Macaca mulatta: one gene and its partners. The protein of the gene in region 3 binds, or shares a complex with, the protein of the main gene of each other region. Links are inferred from orthologs where the notes say so. Each region holds a gene or a part of one and is shown on either strand. Other genes may lie near its edges. The genes, in order: TARS1, EIF4EBP1 and EIF4E2.

Evidence for each region.
Region 1: the proteins of EIF4E2 (region 3) and TARS1 are in contact, whole or in part, in a crystal structure (PDB 5XLN), measured with the Homo sapiens proteins. The link is inferred for Macaca mulatta from reciprocal best matches to the Homo sapiens genes EIF4E2 and TARS1. Residues at the interface, in NP_004837.1 of Homo sapiens: His54, Pro55, Leu56, Gln57, Val91, Glu92, Phe94, Trp95, Arg96, Glu149, Asn150, Leu153, Leu156, Gly157, Glu158, Gln159, Met161, Val203; in NP_001245366.1 of Homo sapiens: Pro51, Glu52, Tyr53, Ile54, Tyr55, Thr56, Arg57, Met60, Tyr61, Ile63, Leu64, Glu67.
Region 2: the proteins of EIF4E2 (region 3) and EIF4EBP1 are in contact, whole or in part, in a crystal structure (PDB 5NVN), measured with the Homo sapiens proteins. The link is inferred for Macaca mulatta from reciprocal best matches to the Homo sapiens genes EIF4E2 and EIF4EBP1. Residues at the interface, in NP_004837.1 of Homo sapiens: Glu53, His54, Pro55, Leu56, Gln57, Tyr58, Tyr64, Arg66, Lys83, Gln84, Ile85, Gly86, Val91, Glu92, Gln93, Trp95, Arg96, Phe97, Ser99, His100, Met101, Val102, Leu107, Phe113, Glu149, Asn150, Leu153, Gly157, Glu158, Gln159; in NP_004086.1 of Homo sapiens: Arg51, Ile52, Ile53, Tyr54, Asp55, Arg56, Phe58, Leu59, Met60, Cys62, Arg63, Ser65, Val67, Thr68, Lys69, Thr70, Pro71, Pro72, Asp74, Leu75, Pro76, Ile78, Pro79, Gly80, Val81, Thr82, Ser83.

What each region holds. Positions count from the first base shown.
Region 1 is NC_133411.1:34,817,984-34,825,252, forward strand, and holds the start of TARS1 (threonine--tRNA ligase 1, cytoplasmic), read left to right. Parts: upstream 1-2,352; 5' UTR 2,353-2,463; coding exon 2,464-2,520; intron 2,521-6,693; coding exon 6,694-6,774; intron 6,775-7,269. UniProt on the Homo sapiens protein: Catalyzes the attachment of threonine to tRNA(Thr) in a two-step reaction: threonine is first activated by ATP to form Thr-AMP and then transferred to the acceptor end of tRNA(Thr).
Region 2 is NC_133413.1:39,970,282-39,977,539, reverse strand, and holds the start of EIF4EBP1 (eukaryotic translation initiation factor 4E-binding protein 1), read right to left. Parts: upstream 4,252-7,258; 5' UTR 4,122-4,251; coding exon 3,977-4,121; intron 1-3,976. UniProt on the Homo sapiens protein: Repressor of translation initiation that regulates EIF4E activity by preventing its assembly into the eIF4F complex: hypophosphorylated form competes with EIF4G1/EIF4G3 and strongly binds to EIF4E, leading to repress translation.
Region 3 is NC_133417.1:137,818,693-137,825,444, forward strand, and holds the end of EIF4E2 (eukaryotic translation initiation factor 4E type 2), read left to right. Parts: intron 1-2,082; coding exon 2,083-2,187; intron 2,188-4,312; coding exon 4,313-4,465; intron 4,466-4,561; coding exon 4,562-4,698; intron 4,699-6,428; coding exon 6,429-6,501; 3' UTR 6,502-6,683; downstream 6,684-6,752. UniProt on the Homo sapiens protein: Recognizes and binds the 7-methylguanosine-containing mRNA cap during an early step in the initiation. Acts as a repressor of translation initiation.

The DNA of each region.
Region 1 (7,269 bases), on a different chromosome or scaffold from region 3:
CCACAGTCAACCTGTTAGAAATGCCTTCTGCTTTTTCTTTTTGCCATCCTTAAATGAGGACTGTTTCTCCCTTGTAATCCTCTCAACAGAATTCCTCTTCTCCCTACCATAACCTGTGTCTCTGGGATTGTATACACAAGTTTCTGAAGCCCTCTGAGGGTTGGGTAATCATGCTGTGATTCTTCCTGTGTATACATGTTAAGTAAATTTGTATGTTTTTTCTATTAATTTACCTCATGTCAGTGATTTTCAGCCAAACTTCAGAGGGCTAAGGGGACCTCTCCTCTTGGCATTTACAATAGTATGTGCTGGTAGTTTCATGCAGTTCTTGGTAGAACTTACTGGTTCAACTTGTTCTTTCACTATGTGTGTATTTAGAGCTAAGCAAGTTTACTATATCTATCTATCTCTATCTATCTATCTATCTATCTATCTATCTATCTATCTATCTATATTTTTTTACTGCTCTGTCGCTGACACTTTGATTTCAGTAACAGTCGTTTTCTTTTCTTTTTTCTTTGAGATGAGGTCTTACTCCATTACCCAGGCTGGAGTGCAGTGGCAAAATCATAGCTCACTACAGACTCAAACTCCTGGACTCAAGCAGTCCTTCTGCCTCAGCCTCCCAAGTAGGTAGGACTGCAGGCGCACACCACCAAACCCAGTTAATTTTTTAATTTTTTATTTTATCTATTTATTTGAGACAGTCTTGCTGTGTTGCCCAGGCTGGAGTACAGTGATGTGATCATAGCTCACTGCAGCCTTGATCTCCCAGGTTCAAGTGATCCCCTCGCCTCAGCCTCCTGAATAGCTGGGACTACAGGTGCACATCACCATGCTTGGCTAATATATATATATTTTTAATTTTTAGTAGACACGAGGTCTCACTATGTTACCCAGACTCGTCTTGAACTCCTGAGCTTAAGCTCTCCTCCTACCTTGCAAGTTTACAGTTTTTAAAAAATGTATTTTATCTCCTTGATTGAAAACTTCACGAAAGCACACTTTGTGTATTTTTGCCAGCACCTGGAAGATGTAAACCTATCACACAGCAGATGTTCAATAAATGTCGAGTGTTGAGACAAAACTTGCTTAATTTTTCAATCAAGGTTTGCAAAATTACCTCTTAATTTGTATTATAAAAGAAGTCAAAACCCATTTACTAACTAGACCTAGAAGAAAGTTTATAATGAGACTAGATTATTAGTAGTGCTTGATGTTCCAGGAGTTATATTCAATTTTAATAGGCTTAGATAGACCAAACTAACTCCCCACATTTAAATTAGAATGAGAATCAACGGGATCTACTCTTACCTTCTAATGTAAAACAATTTAATTATGCTCATTAGACACGTTTGCCTGAATTGTATCTTAATTTTAACTAAGTATAATGAAAACCAGAGAGCTCAAGATTACTGAGTTTGCTAGATGCAGAAAATTATAGGTTAACAATTATATTTAACTGCTATGTAACATTGTTTCTAGCAGCTTCTCTTAACCCCTTGTTCCCTGAAGGCAGAGAGTTGTAGAGAACAGAACTGATGTTTAAAAAGAAAAATCCACAAAACGTGGTGATGGAGTACGTACGTGAAGTTGTGCCCATTGCGCTTCTGATTTCAAATAAGTAATTGTTTTAAATTGCCTACTAACACAAATTTTAAAAGCCCAGTCGATTCCAAACACACCTAGGAGTGAAAATCCATGGTTATTTCCTTGGGTGAGCTTTATTGTATTTTTGCGGGCGCTATAGAAATGCTCCCCCAGGCAGTACAGATCAGCAGCGGCTAGCAGTGAAGAATGTTCAAGGAAGGGTTTGTCCCCGATCACTAGGACTCGGGGCTTGGGGAGCCTGGACTGCCATGAGGAAGGCTCGATTCACCACTACAGACAGGGAGCCAGAGACCTGAGTAGTGCCGAGAAGTCGGCAGTCGCGCCAGGTCAGAAAGCGCCGAAGCCGCAGGAAATCCCGGACTCCATCCCTGGATTTGTTCCAGTGTCGAAGATGGTATCCAGGTCGCCGAAGTTTATGCCAAGACCGACTTATTATCTACGGTGTCCGGGAAGGTCCATGATTGTGCGACATAAAGGCAGAAGGGAGGAAGGCGCAAGCGCATTGGGGACTTGACTCTGAAAAGCGTCCAGACCAAGGTCTGCGGAGAGTAGGCCTGTAGCTCCTCCTCACCCGCCACAACCTGATTTCCTAGAAGGGCTCTGTCATCCAAAAAGATTTTCCATTGGCTTAGAGGAGGCAGGGCCCGTCTTCTCCCGTTATCCATTGGCTGCCCCTTCCGCCGCAAGTTGGGGGCGGGGTTAGGGCGCCTGTCGATTGCATCAGCTGGTCCAGTGGAGGCCAAGTGGCGCAAGCGCAGTGTTCCCGGGCCCTAGCCCACCTGCGACCCGCCTCTTTGCTCTTCTCCTCTAGGCCGTCGCTTTCGGGTTCTCTGATCGCTTCGTCGTTCGCCAATGTTTGAGGAGAAAGCCAGCAGTCCTTCAGGGAAGATGGGAGGCGAGGAGAAGCCGGTGAGCAGACCTGGTGGGACCCAGAGACCAGCCTGGGACTCTCGTGGGTGCAGACGCTCCCTCGCGGCGGGGGCAGGGGTCAGGAAGCAGGAAGCGGCCGGTACCGCGTGGGTCGGAGGAGTGGGGGACGGTGGGACTCATGGAAAGTCGGAACCCCCTTTGGGAACCGTCCATTCATAAATTAGGGTGGGGCCTTGCAGTTCATCTCTGGGTCCATTCTCTTTACAAATGAGGAAACAGACCTTGATTGAGCGACTTGTTCAGAGCCTCACATCTACAGTAGTTAGACGCGGAGACAGAATCAGAATCTTAGGCTTGGGGCTTCCAAACTCGGGTTTGTGGCTTACTGTAAGCGGGAAACATATTGCAGAGCCTTATTTAATCAATCTCCTAAGATCCTGCGGGGGTAAAGAGCTCCATTTTGAGGAAAGGAAAACCGAGTCCCTGAGATCTGACCCAACTTGTCCAGGTTTGGGTGGTTAAGTATACATTTTGCCCGGCACTGAGCTGGGCGGTGGAGGTGGGAAGATGAGTAGGGCCCAGTTCCCCGACTTTGAGGGCCTCACAGGCTGATGTGTAAGAGACAGGAGAACAGCCCTAGTGCTTTGTGATCAGCTGTGTGGTATTACAGAAGAGGAAGCTTAGGAGGGCTCTTTCGAATTGAGTTTGGAAGAATGATTTCACCAGGAAAACAGGCAGAACGGGGCTTCCCACATAAAGGTAGGGAAGGCAGTGAAAAGGGGCACGCAGGTGAATTGTCTTTCGGGTTGTTTGCAAGAGATATGCCAGAAGGGTTAAAGGAACAGCAGTCAGAAAGATCTTAGGCAACAAGGATGTTTGCTACTTGTATTCTATACATGAAGGATCTTAAGCAGGAAGATTGAATTTGTAAAAGTCACGCTGGCATTGGGGTAGAAGGTGAGGCCACATGCAGAAAACTGTTGTAATAGTCCAAGTGAGAAGTGGTGGCATCTTGAGCTAAGGGAGCCTCTATCCCAAGTCTGTGACAGGACAAGTCACTTAAAAGCCAAAACTTTTTCTTGGTTGTCTACTCGGAATTGAATGGAGCACATTCTAAACCAAGTAAATTTAGTTCTAGATGATAAATGGTGACAATACATAGTTTTTTGTTCACATAAAATGGTATTTTTACTATTTTGTAACTTTTTTTTTTTTGCTTAATAGGATGTGGTCAACAGCTTTCCATGTCCATAAATATTCTCCTGTACTATTCTTAATTGGACTTAATATGTATGGTTAACAAATATGTACTTTTTCCTTCCTGTAATAGTTATACAACGGTTAATATTTATTTTGAGTACTAAGTACGGGTTTGGCACTGTATTAATGTATTCCATGAATTAACTCATTCAGTCTTTTGTGTTTATTTATTTATTTATTTATTTTTGTTGAGACGGAGTCTTGCTCTGTCACCCAGGCTGGAGTGCTGTGGCTGGATCTCAGCTCACTGCAAGCTCTGCCTCCCGGGTTTACGCCATTCTCCTGCCTCAGCCTCCCAAGTAGCTGGGACTACAGGCGCCCGCCACCTCGCCCGGCTAGTTTTTTGTATTTTTTTTTTTAGTAGAGACAGGGTTTCACTGTGTTCGCCAGGATGGTCTCGATCTCCTGACCTTGTGATCCGCCCGTCTCGGCCTCCCTAAGTGCTGGGATTACAGGCTTGAGCCACCGCGCCCGGCCCAGTCTTTTGTTTTTTGTTTTGTTTTGTTTTGTTTTTTCCCTGTCGCCCAGGCTGGAGTGCAGTCGCGCGATGTCGGCTCACTGCAAGCTCCGCCTCCCGGGTTCACGCGATTCTACTGCCTCAGCCTCCTGAGTAGCTGGGACTACAGAAGCCCGCCACCACGCCCTGCTAACTTTTTTTTTTTTTTTTTGTATTTTTAGTAGAGATGGGGTTTCACCGTGTTAGCCAGGATGGTCTCGATCTCCTGACCTCGTGATCCGCCCGCTTCGACTTCCCAAAGTGCTGGGATTACAGGCCTAAGCCACCGCTCCCGGCCTCATTCAATCTTCTTAATAACGCTATGAACTGGGTTCTGTTATTATCTCCATTATACAGATGAGAAAGCAGGCAAAGGAACAGTAACTTGCTCAAACCAAGTATCCCTTTTTTTCCCCTTTCTCAAACCCAGTATCCTATAGCAAATACTAATAACCCCTGTGCTGTTCTGAGTGAGTCAGGGACAGATCATTCCTGAGAAAGGTAATTCTGTAGCTTCTGTTAACAATCCAGTTCTGCTTCCCAATTTTTGGGTTGAAATTTTAGATTACTTGTATGTAGATGTACATAACATATATACTCAGGGAAATAGAGAACAGTTGCCCACTCTCTTCCCAGTGTTGTAGAAAAGAGGTAATAGGCCTCAGGGTTCCAGAGAGACCTGTCGTAATGTCCCACCTCTACTACTTAATGATACAAGTGGGCAGGTTGCTTCTTTGAGCCAATGTTCTTGTTTATAAAATGGAGCCGTATTTAGAACCAGAAAAACTTTGTGGTGATTGTCTCTCTCTCTCTCTGTCACTACCCCTGTTCGTTTGGCAAATGATCAAAACCCAAATAATCTTATCAGAAATATAAAACTTATTTTATTATCTTTCAACTTTAAACCTGCACACACCTGCAGTTTTCTTTTTACCCAGTATACTTGATTAGTTACCTCACTTCTACTGTATGACAAAGGATCTGTTGAATCTAAATGAACCTTTAAAGTTTATTAAATCCAGACTCGTGGAGTAGGGGGGAATTTTAGCTCAGCATGAAATTAGGAGTCATATTTTAAAACTAGTTTTTTTTAAAATTATACAAGTAACACGTTTTATAGGATTTAAAAGACAGTGACCAAAATGTCCATCAACTGATAAATGGATAAGTAAGCAATGGAATATTATTTGATAATAAAAAGGTACAATGACAAGTATTGATACATGTTACAACCTGATGATCTTGAAATTATTATGCTAACTAAAAGAAGCCTGTCACAAAAGACCACGTAATGTGTGATTCTATTTATATGAAATTCCTAGAATAGGCAAATCCATAGAAACAGAAACTAGATTAATGGTTGCCAGGGTCTGGAGTTGAAGGCAACAGGGAGTGAACTGCTAATGGGTACAAGGTTTCTTTTTGAGGGTGATGAAAATACTCTAAAATTGATGGTAGCGATAGTTGCACAACAGTGAATACCTAAAAACCATTGAATTGTATACTTTACATGGGTAACTTGTATGATATATGGATTGTATCTTAAAACTTTAAAAAACTAAAGGTCACAAACATGCAAACTAAATGAAATCCCCCCCTTTACATTCCTGGCACAGGATTTATTACTTTAAAACTTTGTATGACTTCACTTACTTCTAATTGAAGCCTGTATTCCTTACGGTAACTTTTAGTTCTTCTGTGAGCATTAGTCTGTCTTACCTTGTATTACTTTCTAAAACAATCCTTCATTAATCAGCCTGGTTTAGTCATTTTTTCTCTCTTTAAATTTTAACGTTTCTGACAACAAGTTTATGTGTACACGTAGGACACATTGCCTCTATTCTCAAAATCCACCTGTTGAAATGCATTCCATCCTTTAAAGTTCTTACACTAGTCCTAGCTTATTTGACGTCTAATCATAGCGCTACTACTGTTCTTTTCTTCTCCGGGAGTTTCTCACACATGTATGCCTTACTTTCCCTGGAGAGACTAGGTTTACACATGGTAGGGATTGGGCCTTATATTTGCTTCTTCCATGGCTTTTGGTAACACTGGTGGAATTCATGGGCACACTTTGTATTCAGTTTGTTTGTTTGTTTGTTTTTCCTGGAAATATGCTTACTGAGTCAACTGCATGCTTCCCTGTGGCCATATGTTTGGTATGTGGTCCAAGTAAACCTGAAGCGAGAGTCACGGGAATAGTTAAAATAAAACAAATGAAATTTGAGGAGTTAAACATCGTTAGTAACTCCTTACTTTTTGAAGACTCGTCTTTATTGTAGTTGTTAACCTGTCTTTGCCAGTGATGAAATTGTTCAGTCTTTCAATATCAGATTTCCATTTTTTAAAAATTCAATAACAAATACTAAAATAACATTCTCAACACTTTTGCTGGGGCATCGCAGGGTGGAGGTGTCACATTAGATTAAAATATAAAACGTATTTTGCTTATTTAGATTGATGCTGGTGAAGAGAAGCGAAAGGAAGGAGGCAAAAAGAAGAACAAAGAAGGATCTGGAGATGGAGGTCGAGCTGAGGTAAAAGTTATCGCAGAGGGCTCTGTTATCAAAGGTTGGCAAATCACAGGGAACTTTCTGAGACTTTCTGAATGTGTAAGGATTCTAATGGTTTACATGGTGTTATAAGATGGTACTGGTTGGAAAAATCAGGAAGAAGAATTAGGAAAGGATAATCTGAGAGGGGAAAAAAGACTTTCAGTCTTTTGTTACTGTAAAAGGAAGCAACTGGCGTATGATTGTATAAGGTGATCTGATTGTGGGGTTGAATATAAAAATCAGAGAACAAAAGTTGAAGAGGAGACTGGTAATTATTCAGTTGCCAGACGTGATGCTAGCTCTCTGATTATTTCATTAAATGAGATGTTAAGGAATAGAGGCTTGGTGTTTGGGCTTACACTGAATACAACAAAAACCAAAGAAAGCCAGTTTTGTGACCGCCTCCTTGCCCTTTGTATCTGGACCTGCCCTAGGGTTGGCTTCTAAGCCAGGACAGATTCCCCTTAAGGCCTCTCA
Region 2 (7,258 bases), on a different chromosome or scaffold from region 3:
TCACCTCGGATTCACCTTATCCAGGTACGAGTCTTTGGCATAACTGCCACCCAAGCCTGTATGTAGGCTTCAGAGTCAAACATGCAACACGGAGCTGGGAATGTGGAGATCGATAAGGGAAAGTTTCTTTCTGATCCACTCAAAGGTTCTGCTGGCTAATGGGTTGTTTATGGTGTTGCTGGATATTTCTAAGACTCCAAAGACTCAAATATTCATACATGACACTCCCTTCAGCAAAATTCTCTTAAGTACTCCGGACAGCTAACCTCAGCAGAGCCTCAGTGTACAAATGGTTAATGACCATGGAAAGCAAACTGGAGGCCGGGTGAGGTGACTCATGCCTATAATCCCAGCAGTTTGGGAGGCTGAGGTGGGAGGATTGCTTGAACCCAGGAGTCTGAGGCCAGCCTGGGCAATACAGAGAGACCCTGCCTCTACAAAAAAATCAAAAACTTAGCAGGGTATGGGGGCACGTGCCTATAGTCCCAGCTACTTGCAAGGCTGAGGCAGGAGGATCACTTGAGCCCAGGAGTTTGAGACTGCAGTGAGCTATGTTCATGTTACTGTACTCCAGCCTGGGTGACACAGTGAGACCCTGTCTCAGGGAAAAAAAAAAAAAAAAAAGGAAAGCAAACTGCAGTCACAGGAACGGAGATAGCGCAACCCAACTCTGCTTCTTTCCCTCCAGGGACGATCACTTGATGGCCATTCCCAGCAGGAGTGACTGGTGGGCACTTACTCCAGTGGTTTTTCCTGAGAAGCTGACAGTCCCTATAAGTAAGCAGGTGCAGACAGCCATACAGACACTCTATCAAAAGCCTGACTCTCCACACCATGATTTAGAGACAGATGCTGAGCCCAACCTCAAGGTTTACCTGGATGGAGTCATCATTTTTTTTTTTTTTTCCGCCAGACTCCAGAGATCTGAAAGGTGAGGGAAGTTACGTTCCACTAATTCCTGAGTACTCAGAGTGTGGTATATGCACCAATCACTGAGAGCTAGTTAGAAATGATGAATCTAGGCTGGGCATGGTGACTCATGCCTGTAATCCCAGCACTCTGGAAGGCCGAGGCAGGCAGATCACTTGAGGTCAGGAGTTTGAGACCAGCCTGGCCAACACGGTGAAATCCCCGTCTCTGCCAAAAAATACAAAAATTAGCTGGGCATGAGTGGCGTGTGCCTGTTGTCCCAGCTATTGGGGAGGCTGAGGTGGGAGGATCGCTTGACCCCGGGAGGTGGAGGTTGCTGTGAGCTGAGATCATGCCATTGCACTCCAGCCTAGGTGACAGAGTGAGACCCTTCTCAAAAAAAAAAAAAAAAAAGAAAGAAAGAAAAAAGAAAGAAATGCTGAATCTAGTCCCCACCCCCACCTACAGAATCAGAATATGCACTTAAATGAAGCCCCCAGTTATCCTCAAGCACCTGGAAGGTTGAGACGCAGTATTCTGCTCTGGAGCAAAAGGGTCCTGCGATGTGACCATTTCAGCTTCTCTGCCCTAGCAGAGGTGGGCTGAGGTGGGCTTTGGAGGAAGAGTTCACACCTTGGCTAATCGAGGCCGACCAGGCTTGCTTGACTTTAGTGGAAGTAAGCCGGGTTTCCCTGGCTTAGGGACTGTGAGCTGTACCTGGATGACCCAAAGAGTGAGCTGGCTTTAGGCTCCTGGCACTGCTAGCTTCTTCCAGTGATCTCAGAAACATGCTATGCCCTGATGCAGAAGCCCCTTCCCCACTCCCCCTACTGTTAAAGACCTTCGGCCGGGCGCGGTGGCTCAAGCCTGTAATCCCAGCACTTTGGGAGGCCGAGACGGGCGGATCACGAGGTCAGGAGATCGAGACCATCCTGGGTAACACAGTGAAACCCCGTCTCTACTAAAAATACAAAAACTTAGCCGGGCGAGGTGGCAGGCGCCTGTAGTCCCAGCTACTCGGGAGGCTGAGGCAGGAGAATGGCGTGAACCCGGGAGGCGGAGCTTGCAGTGAGCTGAGATCCGGCCACTGCACTCCAGCCTGGGTGACAGAGCGAGACTCCGTCTCAAAAAAAAAAAAAAAAAAAAAAAAAAAAGACCTTCAAAAGGAGGGGGATTTGCTGTGGTCTGTCAGCCCCCTGCCTACTCCCCACTTCCCAACCCAAAGTGAAAAGTGGATTCAAAGTTCATATATTTTATGTTTATTATTTATTTTAGAGACAGGGTCTCGCTCTGTCACCCAGGCTGGAATGCAGTGGTCAATCATAGCTCACTACAGCCTCCAACTCCTGGGCTCAAGCGACCCTCTGGCCGCAGCCTCTGTAATAGCTAGGACATCTTTTTTTTTTTTTTTTTTTTTTTTTTTTTTTTTTGTAGAGATGGAGTCTCACTATGTTGCCCAGGCTGGTCTTGAACTCCTGGCCTCAAGCAATTCTCCTGCCTCGACTCCCCAAAATGCTGAGATTACAGGTGTGAACCTTGGTACCCGTGCCAGAAGTGCCTATAAACAGTATCTGTGGCTTCCAATTTGACCCAACAATCCAGCAATAAAAGGCGCAAAAAAGGGCTACCTGTGCCTTCAGGCCAGCCTCAGGGCCCACCCTGAACAAATCCAGCAGACACTTACACCCTCAGTTGAAAGAAGTCCAAAATTGTCAGGAATTGTCCTGGTAGACCATTGTGACAGGGACAAAGGAGAACAGCATGAACTACAAAAGACCCAGCAAGGGAAAGAGGATGAGTCGGGAGTGGCAATAAGAGCCCCTGCGAGCTTTTCCTTGGCTCATTTCTAATAGAAAATGAAGCATTCCTCCCTTCTCTGCCTGGTTGCTATTTCTTGTCCAATCTGGGAAAACGGTGTGACAATGGGCAATAGACACGTGTTCAAGCTCTGGGGCCTCAATGCCCGGCTCTGTAGAATAAGGCGGCAGGGCTGGACAAGATCCCTAACCGTTCTAACAGTGTATGTTTTGGATCAAATAGCTGAGGACCTCGGATCCGGCCGTGCATGCTGCTGGTAGGACAGCTGCCTGAGAAAATAAGCATGTGGCCCCTGCCCGCCACCGAGTGAAGCGCCAGGATCTGTCGCGTTTTCGAGTAGTTTGGAAAGCAGCGTGGAGGAGATTGAAGGGAGAGAAGTCAAAGGGGTGGGGGCAGTACGAGGATGGGAGGGGAGTGGAGAGCCACGAGGATTTGTTTCATCATGCAAACAGGCGCGTAGGTTTCATCAGCGTCTGTGCGCTGGGGTTGCGGGGCTGGGAGGGAATGCCAGGCTCCTGAGGGCAGCCTGAGGCTGCCCCCCCACCCCCGCACCCGTGCCAGCTCAGCTTCCTCTTCCTCATCCTCTCCCAGGGAGGTCACACGGTGCCTCCTCCTCTCCCCGGACAGAAGAACGTGTTTTTCTGCACAGCCCTGCCCGTGGCGCCAGGCCCCCCCGCGGAGATCCCACTCGCGAAAATGGGGAACGTGCCACAGGTGCCCGGGAGGCTCTGCTGGAGCAGGAGAGCACCCCCACATCCAAACCTCCGTCAGAGCGCGCGTGTCCAACGCAAAACTAGGGGTGCTTCGGAAAGGAAAAAGGGCCCTGCAGGAATCATTTATCCCAACAGATAATACCCATCCCATAAAAACACCAGGCCAGGCCTCTCCTGGATCGTGGGCCACCCTGACTCCGCCCTATCCTGCCTCGGGAGCGCCCCCAACACCCACAAGGGGCAGCACAGCTCGGCATGTGGCAGTCCTGGAAGAGTGCGTGTTTGTTAGGTGTCAGCTGTCTGACACCTAACAGAAAGAGGAAACGAACGGGGCAGTTTGCAACCTGGGTCTGGACGACGCACTCAAGAGGGCAGACGGGCGGCCACTTCCATGACCCTCGATATCTCCCCGATGCCCCTTCTCCGTTCTTTCCAGTCACAGCGCCCTTGAGCCTGGACACCCGGTCCAATCCGCGATTCCCGATCCTCCCGCCCGCCCAGGAGCCGGCCAGCTGCGTCCCCAAGCCCGCGCCTACCTCCCGGGGTGGTGCTGAAGAGTGTGCCGCCGGGGGTCGTGCTGTAGTCCCCGGGCGGGAGCTGCACGCCGTCGCCGAGCACCACCCGGCGAGTGGCGGGGATGGCCCGACTTGGGGTCTGGCTGCAGCTGCTGCCCCCGGACATGGTCTCCTGTGCGCTGCACCAGCGAACCTCTCGCTGCCCTCCCGCGCCTCCAGCCTCGCTCCGCCTAGCCGGGTCCCGCTCAGCCTCGCCCCGTCCCGCCCCGCCCCAGGACGCCCCTTCCGCCTCTCCCGCCCACGCCCCTGGGATTTGTAGTCCGCGCCGCAGCCCCACCCAGCTCCAGGACGTTGCTTCCACGTGGGATCCCCCGCAGCCCCCCGACCCACTCACGCCTGCTCACGGGCTCTTCCGCACGGGCGCCGGCGCCGCCCCGCAGCGACTGCCCCTCTGTCCTGTGTCCCTCCCCGCCACGTTGGCAGGGATGGGGGTGGGGGTGGTGGGCGGGATAGCTCGCCTAAATTAATCCTTGGCTGGGTTGGGGGCGGCGACTCAGGACCGCGCGGAGATCCGAGCTGACCCGGCCCACTGCAGGAAGGCCCGGTTTCTGCCTTAGTACATCAGGCCCGGTGTACCCTCCGGCACTCCCTGTTTCGTGCCTTAGTTCCTCAGATGAGAAAGTGGGGATTGAGTGGTCATGCTCACCCCCTCCCCCGCCTCAATTTCTTGACCTTGATGGGGGTGGGGATGGTGGGGCTAACAATTCTGTTCCCGGCCTTTAGACAGGGTGTGGGAGGAGGAGTGAACCAACCAGCGGCGTCCTGGGAGTTAAATTTAGAGCTAGGGGCGCGGGGGTAGGGGGAGAGGGAAGGGCGTAGGAGAGGGGTAAGAGTTTGTCAAAGAGGTTTCCCGATAACTCCTGAATTGGGTCCAACGCCCACCCCACTGCCTGAGATTTAGTAGGTACTCCTTGGATGGATGGATGGAGGGATGTTCAAGGGGAGAGAGAAAAATGCAAGAAGGACCGAGGATGGAAAAGCTTGTTGGGTTTGAGAAGTTCTTAGCATTGTGGGCACATGTTGTGGGGAAGAGGGTGAAGAAAGTTTAAAAGGGAAATTGGGTGGTGCACCTGTAATCCCCACTACTCAGGAAGCTGAGCTGGAGGATGCTTGAGCTCAGGAGTTTGAGGCTCCAGTGAGTGTGATCACACCACTGCACTCCACCCTTAGTGAGAGACCCTATCTCTAAAAAATATATAATAATTTTTTAAAAAGGAAATTGGGGTCAGGTCATTGAGTTTTTCAAATCATGCCAAAGTGCTTGGACTTTGTCTTAGAAGGGCAGGAGAGATCAGAGATTTTTTTTTTTTTTTTTTTTTTTTTTAAGGCTGGAGTGCAGTGGCGCGATCTTGGCTCACTGCAAGCTCTGCCTCCCGGGTTCACGCCATTCTCCTGCCTCAGCCTCCCGAGTAGCTGGGACTACAGGCGCCCGCCACTGCGCCCAGCTAATTTTTTGTATTTTTAGTAGAGATGGGATTTCACCGTGTTAGCCAGGATGGTGTTGGTGTCGATCTCCTAACCTCGTGATCCACCCGCCTCGGCCTCCCAAAGTGCTGGGATTACAGGCGTGAGTCACCGCGTCCAGCCCAGAGATCTTTTAAGCAGGGGGATGACATGATTTGAGTTGTTTTTTTTGAAAGATAACTAGTAGCCAGTGGAGTTTCAGGATGGGCCAAGGAGGGCAAGGCCTGAGATAGGGAGACCTGTTGAATTTGGTCTCACTTTTGAGGGAAACTTTAGGCCTACAGTGGCTTAAGACAGTAGCCGCCAGCTACAGGTGCACATTGAGCACTCCAAATGTGGCCAGTCCAAACTGTCACAAGTTTAACATACACACCATATTTCAAAGACTTAGCATGAAAAAAATAATGTAAAATGCCTGAATAATTTGTTTCTATATTGATTGTATGTTGAACTGATAATATTTTGAGTATATTGGGTTCAGAAAATTACATTAAAAAATTAATTTTGGGCCAGGTGCAGTGGCTTACGCCTGTAATCCCAACACTTTGGGAGGCCGAGGTGGGCAGATCACGAGGTCAAGAGATCGAGACCATCCTGGACAACATGGTGAAACCCTGTGTCTACTAAAAATACAAAAAAAATTAGCTGGGCATGGTGGTGCGTGCCTGTAGTTCCAGCTTACTCGGGAGGCTGAGGCAGGAGAATCGCTTGAACCTGGGAGGTGGAGGTTGCAGTGAGCCGAGATCACACCACTGCACTGCAGCCTGGTATCAGAGCAAGACCCCGTCTCAAAAGAAAAAAAAAAATTAGGCCGGGCGCGGTGGCTCAAGCCTGTAATCCCAGCACTTTGGGAGGCCGAGACGGGCGGATCACGAGGTCAGGAGTTCGAGACCATCCTGGCTAACACGGTGAAACCCCGTCTCTACTAAAAAATACAAAAAACTAGCCGGGCGAGGTGGCGGGCGCCTGTAGTCCCGGCTACTCGGCAGGCTGAGGCAGGAGAATGGCGTAAAAACCCGGGAGGCAGAGATTGCAGTGAGCTGAGATCCAGCCACTGCACTCCAGCCTGGGCGACACAGCGAGACTCCGTCTCAAAAAAAAAAAAAAAGAAAAAAAAAATTAATTTCGGCCAGGTGCGGTGGCTCACGCCTGTAATCCCAGCACTTTGGGAGGCCTAGGCGGGTGGATCATGAGGTCAGGAGTTCAAGACCAGCTTGCCAAGATGGTGAAACCCTGTCTCTACTAAAAATACAAACAACAACAACAAAAAGCCGGCCATAATGGCCGGCACCTGTAATCCCAGCTACTCAGGAGGCTGAGGCAGAGGTTGTAGTGAGCCGAGAACCACCACTGCACTCCTGCCTGGGCGACAGAGTAAGACGCTGTCTCAAAAAAAAAAAAAAAAAAAAGAAGGCCGGGCATGGTGGCTCACGCCTGTAATCCCAGCACTTTGGGAGGCCGAGGCGGGTGGATCACGAGGTCAGGAGATCGAGACCATCCTGGCTAACACGGTGAAACCCTGTCTCTACTAAAAATACAAAAAATTAGCCGGACGTGGTGGTGGGCGCCTGTAGTCCCAGCTACTCGGGAGGCTGAGGCAGGAGAATGGCGTGAACCCGGGAGGTGGAGCTTGCAGCGAGCCGAGATGGCGCCACTGCACTCCAGCCTGGGTGACAGAGCAAGACTCCGTCTCAAAAAAAAAAAAAAAAAGAAAAAGAAATTAATTTCGTCCAGGCTGTGGATCACACCTGTAATCCCAGTACATTTGGAGGCTGAAGT
Region 3 (6,752 bases):
TCCCAGCTACTCAGGAGGCTGAGCCAGGAGTATTGCTTGAGCCTGGGATGTCGAGGCTGCAGTGAGCCGTGATCACACTGCTGCACTCCAGCCTGGGTAACAGAGCAAGACCCCATCTCAAATGATGAATGAATGAATGAATGAATGATGGTCTCGAGCTGTTTAACTTCACCTCTTTGCATATAAGATTGTGTAGTGGAGCTAGGCGTGTTGGCTAACGCCTGTAATCTCAGCACTTTGGGAAGCCAAGGCAGGTGGATCACCTGAGGTCAGGAGTTCGAGACCAGCCTGGCCAACATGGTGAAACCCCGTCTACTAAAAATACAAAAATTAGCCAGGCGTGGCAGCATGTGCCTGTAGTCCCAGCTACTTGGGAGGCTGAGGCAGGAGAATTACTTGAACCCAGAAGATGGAGGTTGCAGTGAGCTGAGGCAAGGCTGCACCATTGCACTCCAGCCTGGGCAAAAAGAGTGAAACTCCGTCTCAAAAAAACAAAACAAAAACAAAAAAAAGAAGATTGTGCAGTGTAGTTGTAAGATTGGAGGAGACCAGACTATTAAAGTGATTATTGACTGGGGAACTGGAGATGGTTGCCATACTTTCTCCTCACCAAGCCTCTTTCAGTTCCTTATTCACAATGAGCCATTTGGGGGTGTACTTAGTTCTCTTCAACTATGTTAGGGTGGATAAAGGTTTAGATTATTGCCGATTGTATTCATATGACCATTTACTATTCCAAGTCACTATATGCAGCTAAGCTTAGCAGTTGCTGAATATGAAGCACTGCCTTGAAGCCCTATAGATGGCGTTAGTTCCTGACTTCTTTTTAACATGTAAGATGCATCACATGTTCTTGTGCCAGAGAGGAACTAAAGGGGCAGCCATTTCACCCAGTGTAAGGTTGATTTCTCCTTAGGTGCTCCTGAAATCTAGAAGTATGACCTGAATCTTTGTCTACTCAGTACCCATTGTCAGCTCCATAGTTGTGGTATCTTGCTGTATGTTGATTTAGAGCCTGCTCAGCAAGTTGGCAAATACCAGCTATTTCTCATCAGAGTGTTCGTGTTTTTTCTTTCCTCCTAAAGTGTGCCTCTTCACTGGCCAGTACTTACTAGGTATCCTCTGTGAATAAGGAAATAATCTGTCCTATCAAGACACTAATGAGCCTGTAGTCCCAGCTACTTGGGAGGCTGAGATAGGAGGATCCCTTGACACCAGGAGTTAGAAGCTATAATGAGCTATGATCATACTGCTGCACAGATCCTGTCTCTTTTTTTTTTCTTTTTCTTTTTTTTTTAAGGGGGGAGGTGACACTAATGAGAAAAATGGGACTACTGTGATGAATACAAATAAGCATATACTTGATAGAAAAATATAAATCTAGTTTTCTCATGGGATTGTGAAGGAGCAGCAAGGAGAAACATAATTTTTCTAGCTAAGAAGAAGGCCTTAAACCCTAGCTATGAGAAGCTAAGTCCTGTACGATTTTGGATGGGCCTGGACTTTAGCAACAGCACCATGGTGTAGAGTAGTATGTGTGGTACAAGTGGTTGATTCTATCACTTATGCTTAGTAACTAAACAGGTCTAAGAAGTATTTCATTCAGCAAATGCTATATTTGCCAGTGAAACAATCTTTGATCAGTAAGTGATTTGGTTCTAAAAAATGGATTCAGGCTGAGGCTGTGTGGCACTTAATATACCTCAAGGCTAAAGAGTTTCCATTGTGCAAAAACCTGGTCCTCTTACTGCATGTGATGACTGTCCTGCGGCTTGAGTGGGAGAGTGCGTATTAACATGGTTTCACCAACTAAAGCTCCTGGCTCAGGCTTGCATTTCTCATCAAAGATTTTATTCTTGTATTGCTAATGTTACATTTTTTCTTTCGTGAAACTAGATGATACACTTTTCTTCTAATATGTCTTCCCTCACAGTGCCACACATGAAAATGAGTCCTCTGAAAAGGACAGCCTGTAGTATAGTGTCTTCCATGCTTATGTTCTTAACTAAATTTCAACTTCGGGATGCATTCAAAGAAAAATACAAGACACATCTTTTTTACTGTGGGGTCTTCTCTCTGCAGGTGGAGCAGTTCTGGAGGTTTTATAGCCACATGGTACGTCCCGGGGACCTGACAGGCCACAGTGACTTCCATCTCTTTAAAGAAGGAATTAAACCCATGTGGGAGGTAAGGACTAATGGTCTCTGACTGCTTTTTTGAGCAAGTTTGGGTTTTTTTGTTTTGTCTCTTAGCCTACCAAGGTTAAAAGTATTTTAAAGTCTTCTCTCAAAACTGCATCACTCTCCAGTATATCCTTGGAACCTGAGCCTCTAGAGAAATGCACTGATGCCATTTTTTTGTCTGTGTGGGTTGGTGCTGAGTGTTTTTTAAAGACTGTTTTATGACTAAAATGGTATTAGAACATTAAAGGATTTTTGTTTTCAGTTACTTTTATCCCTATAGAACTTGTTTGTGTATGCGTGTAATATTTTTACATAGTACACATATGATTAAAGTGGGTAGGAAAATAAGCTTAAAGGCAGTAACTGAAGACCTAGAACTGTTTGCAGAGCCAGTATTCGACTGCACCCTGGTGTAATGCATCTTCTATTCTGATGCCATGGCATTTTTTGAGTAGACACATGTGGTCACATCCACGCCGCCCAACTTACACAGCTCCTCATTGCTCACATGATCTTGCATCTCATTTACCTTTCAAGCCTCATCTCCCATTATCTCTAAATCTTCCCTTCCTTGCAGGTGGACCCTCCTGTCAGTTTTTGCGCAGACATGTTCTTTCCAGTGCCCGCAGTGCCCTTCGCCTGCTTTTCCTGACTCACTCCTATTGCCCTTAAGACCCACTTCTTGGCAGGCCTTGGTGGCTCATGCCTGTAATCCCAGTACTTTGGGAGGTCAAGGTGGACAGATTACCTGAGGTCAGGAGTTTGAGACCAGCCTGGCCAACATGGTGAAACCCCGTCTCTACTAAAAATACAAAAATTAGCCAGGTGTGGTGGCAGGCACCTGTAATCCCAGCTACTCGGGAGACTGAGACGGGAGAATCACTTGAACCCAGGAGGTGGAGGTTGCACTGAGCCGAGATTGCACCACTGCACTTCAGCCTGGGTAACACAGCAAGACTCCATCTCAAAAAAAAAAAAGACCCGCTTCTTGACTGTTTCCAACTGTCTTGTTCTTCCTTAACATAGTGTGTATATCTGTTAACAGCAGCACTTATAATTACAGTAGCATTGCTGTAATTAATATCCTTGCCTGTCTGTTCTACTAGACTGGATCTAAGTAGCGACTGGGGCTTCAGCCAGGCACAGTGGCTCACTCCTGTAATCCCAGCACTTTGGGAGGCCGAGGCGGGCAGATCACGAGGTCAGGAGTTCGAGACTACCCTGCCCAATATGGTGAAACCCTGTCTCTACTAAAAATACAACAATTAGCAGGGTATGGTGGCATGCGCCTGGAGTCCCAGCTACTCAGAAGACAGGGACTAGAGAATCACTTGAACCCGAGAGGCAGAAGTTGCAGTGAGCCGGTATCATGCCACTGCACTCCAGACTGGGTGACAGAGGGAGACTCCGTCTCAAAAAAAAAAAAAACTAGATTGGGGCTTCATGACTGTGTATTTGGTATGTAGTTACACTCAGTATTTTTTTTTTTTTTTTTTTTTTTTGAGACAAAGTCTTGTTCTGTTGCCCAGGCTGGAGTGCAGTGGTGCCATCTCAGCTCACTGCAAGCTCTGCCTCCAAAGTTTACGCCATTCTCCCGCCTCAGCCTCCTGAGTACCTGGGACTACAGACACCCGCCACCACGCCCGGCTAATTTTGTTTCTGTATTTTTAGTAGAGATGCGATTTCACCATGTCAGCCTGGCTAGTCTAGATCTCCTGACCTCGTGATTCGCTTGCCTAGGCCTCCCAAAGTGCTGGTATTACAGGCGTGAGCCACCACGCCCAGCAGACACTCAGTACTTTTAGCAAGTGAAGGGATGATCCGTGCTTGAAATATGACATCATTTCATTTTGATTCCTAAAGTATTTCCAGTAAAGGGGATTATTTTTAAAAGGTCTGTTAAGCCATTTTAATATATGGCTTATGCCAAGGATCCCAGCCATGTTTTTCTTTTTTTCCCCATTTCTTCTCTCCGTAGTCCTACCATCAGTTTTTCTATAGAGTTGAATAATTGGAAAATGATATGACTTATTAGTGTTTAAGAGATTATTGGCTTTTTACTGCCTTCATACAAAAAAAAAACACTGTGAAACCGTATTTTAACTTCAGTGCTTTCTGTCTTTTTACAGGATGATGCAAATAAAAATGGTGGCAAGTGGATTATTCGGCTGCGGAAGGGCTTGGCCTCCCGTTGCTGGGAGAATCTCATTTTGGCCATGCTGGGGGAACAGTTCATGGTTGGGGAGGAGATCTGTGGGGCTGTGGTGTCTGTCCGCTTTCAGGTAAGCCACCCATGGGCCAGTCTGGTTTCTTGTGTTGCCTTTGCTCTCCTCGCTGCCTCTGATTTGCTTTGATGATTCCTTGTGTTCCTCTGATAGGAGGACATTATTTCAATATGGAATAAGACTGCCAGTGACCAAGCAACCACAGCCCGAATCCGGGACACACTTCGGCGAGTGCTTAACCTACCTCCCAACACCATTATGGAATACAAAACTCACACCGACAGCATCAAGTACGTGTTGGGGGGTTATGGGAGGATGTGTCCCTAAGCTTAGCAGAAGTAGATCTGTAGTTGGGCCCAGAGGAATATGACCGGACAGGAGACTTACTTGTGGAGAAGGGACAGACCAGGCCTTCCCTCCAGGGCTTCTGGCTACTTGCTGCAGTTCTTTGTCAGCGAGGCTCCCTGCCACCTATACTACCAGGTGCTTTGTAGCAGAGAGAGCCTGTCTGCAGAAACCCAGTTGCACTGCCTGGGCTTGCTTAATTTCTACAGGCTGTCCTGTCTTTCATATTCTAACCACTATCTTAAAATGAAAGACAAGTGCTTTTCTTTTTCTTGCTGTTTTTTAAGATAATTTCACCCTGCCCACCCTCACCCCACTTCTGCATGTCTTTTTAACTTGTTAGCTTCAGTCTGTTTTCTTTGTCCTGGGATACTGACTACTTATCAGGAATGACTCCATTTCCTTGTGTATAGAGCTGACTCATAGAAGAAGGGGGATAGTGTGTGTGTGAGAGAGCAGAATCAAAGGGAAGCATGATGGCCACAGGGAAAATAAGCTTTGCAGTCTCCCTAGGACGGGAAATAGAGCTTTCTGTCTACAGTGAGAATCACTGTTAGGCTTGCTCCTTCAGTGATTGAGTGTCAGAAGTAAGCTCAGGCTATTGTGAAAAAGTGTGGGGAGTGGCTGTCAGATTGTCTCAAAGCTGGAGGGAGAGCTAGCCAGCTAAGAGTTAGGACTCTTAGGTTTAGTTCTGTCCTATGGCCCCGTACCAATATGTGCCTTTGACAAGCGTCTTTGCAACTTTGCTTCAGTTTCTCCATCTGTAAAGTGGGAGACAGTACTTTATCTAACAAGGCTATTGTGAGGCTGATTTAATCTTTAACTGAGGGTCCTCAGATGGAGAATGCTCTTACAGGGCCACGTAGTAGTATTGCTATCATCATCATCATCATTAGTAAGAATATCATCATGTTGTTATTATTGAAGACTAGTAGTGAGCCCAGCGATTATGTTCAGCAGACAGACCGTTTGGGAATCTCTTTCCCATGCATTCACAGATAATGTTATGAGTGGAGTTGGCTTAAACCAGCTAAGTACCAGTTTTTAAGTGGGAACACTGCTATGGGAGTTGGTCCGTGATCAAACGGCTGGCATGACTCATCATAGTCACCAACAGTTATTAGCCAGCCTTGGCCCTGGTTGCTTGCCTTAGCAGTCCTGTGTTAGCATTGTTTTTCTCTAGGCACATTTTTCTTATTCTCTGTTCTGGGATAGAAGTAGTTTCTGACCTCTAGCCTCATTCAGTCCAGGCTGGAGAGATCTATACCTTTTTCTAGGATTCTTGTTTTCAAGGTTTCTAAATATCCCCCACTCCCACTCACCCCCAAAATAAGTTTTCCACCTGGATAAGAGAGGGAAAGAGGTATTTTTCATCAGTTCTCCCCTTCTCTGCTGTTCTCCCTTTCTAATACCATAAGGCAGTTCTTTGTGACTTTTATAGATATATATGTACATGTCCTGACAGAGTTTAGGAGAGCCTGTGGGCTTTTTGCCTTAGTCTGCTAGAAAGACTGGCCTGCTGCTCCCTGCTTTATCCAGAGGTCTGCCTCTGGGACTTCAGCCCTATAGCTGTAGAGACCAGAAAACCAGCCCTCTTTGAGACCCAGATGCTACTTTCCCTTGCGTCCCCCTCTCTTTCCTTTCCCAATGAGCCAACCTTTTGCACTTCCACTAGAATGCCAGGCAGGCTGGGCCCCCAAAGGCTCCTTTTTCAAAACCTCTGGAAGCCGCGGTTGAATGTGCCATGACCCTCTCCCTCTCTGGATGGCACCATCATTGAAGCTGGCGTCATCGGAGTCTCTTGTTCTGTTGGCGTGCTACCTGGAAGATCCTTCTGTCCTGGACAAGAGGAATTGGAAGAGCATTTTATGTTTTAAGAACAGGCTGACACACAGCAGCTACAACAACAGCTGAGATCACTTAATAAATGGTGCTAAACTAGCTTGTCTCATGCTCTTGCTCTTTATGGTGCATCAAAGATGTGGCCTTTCGGACTGAC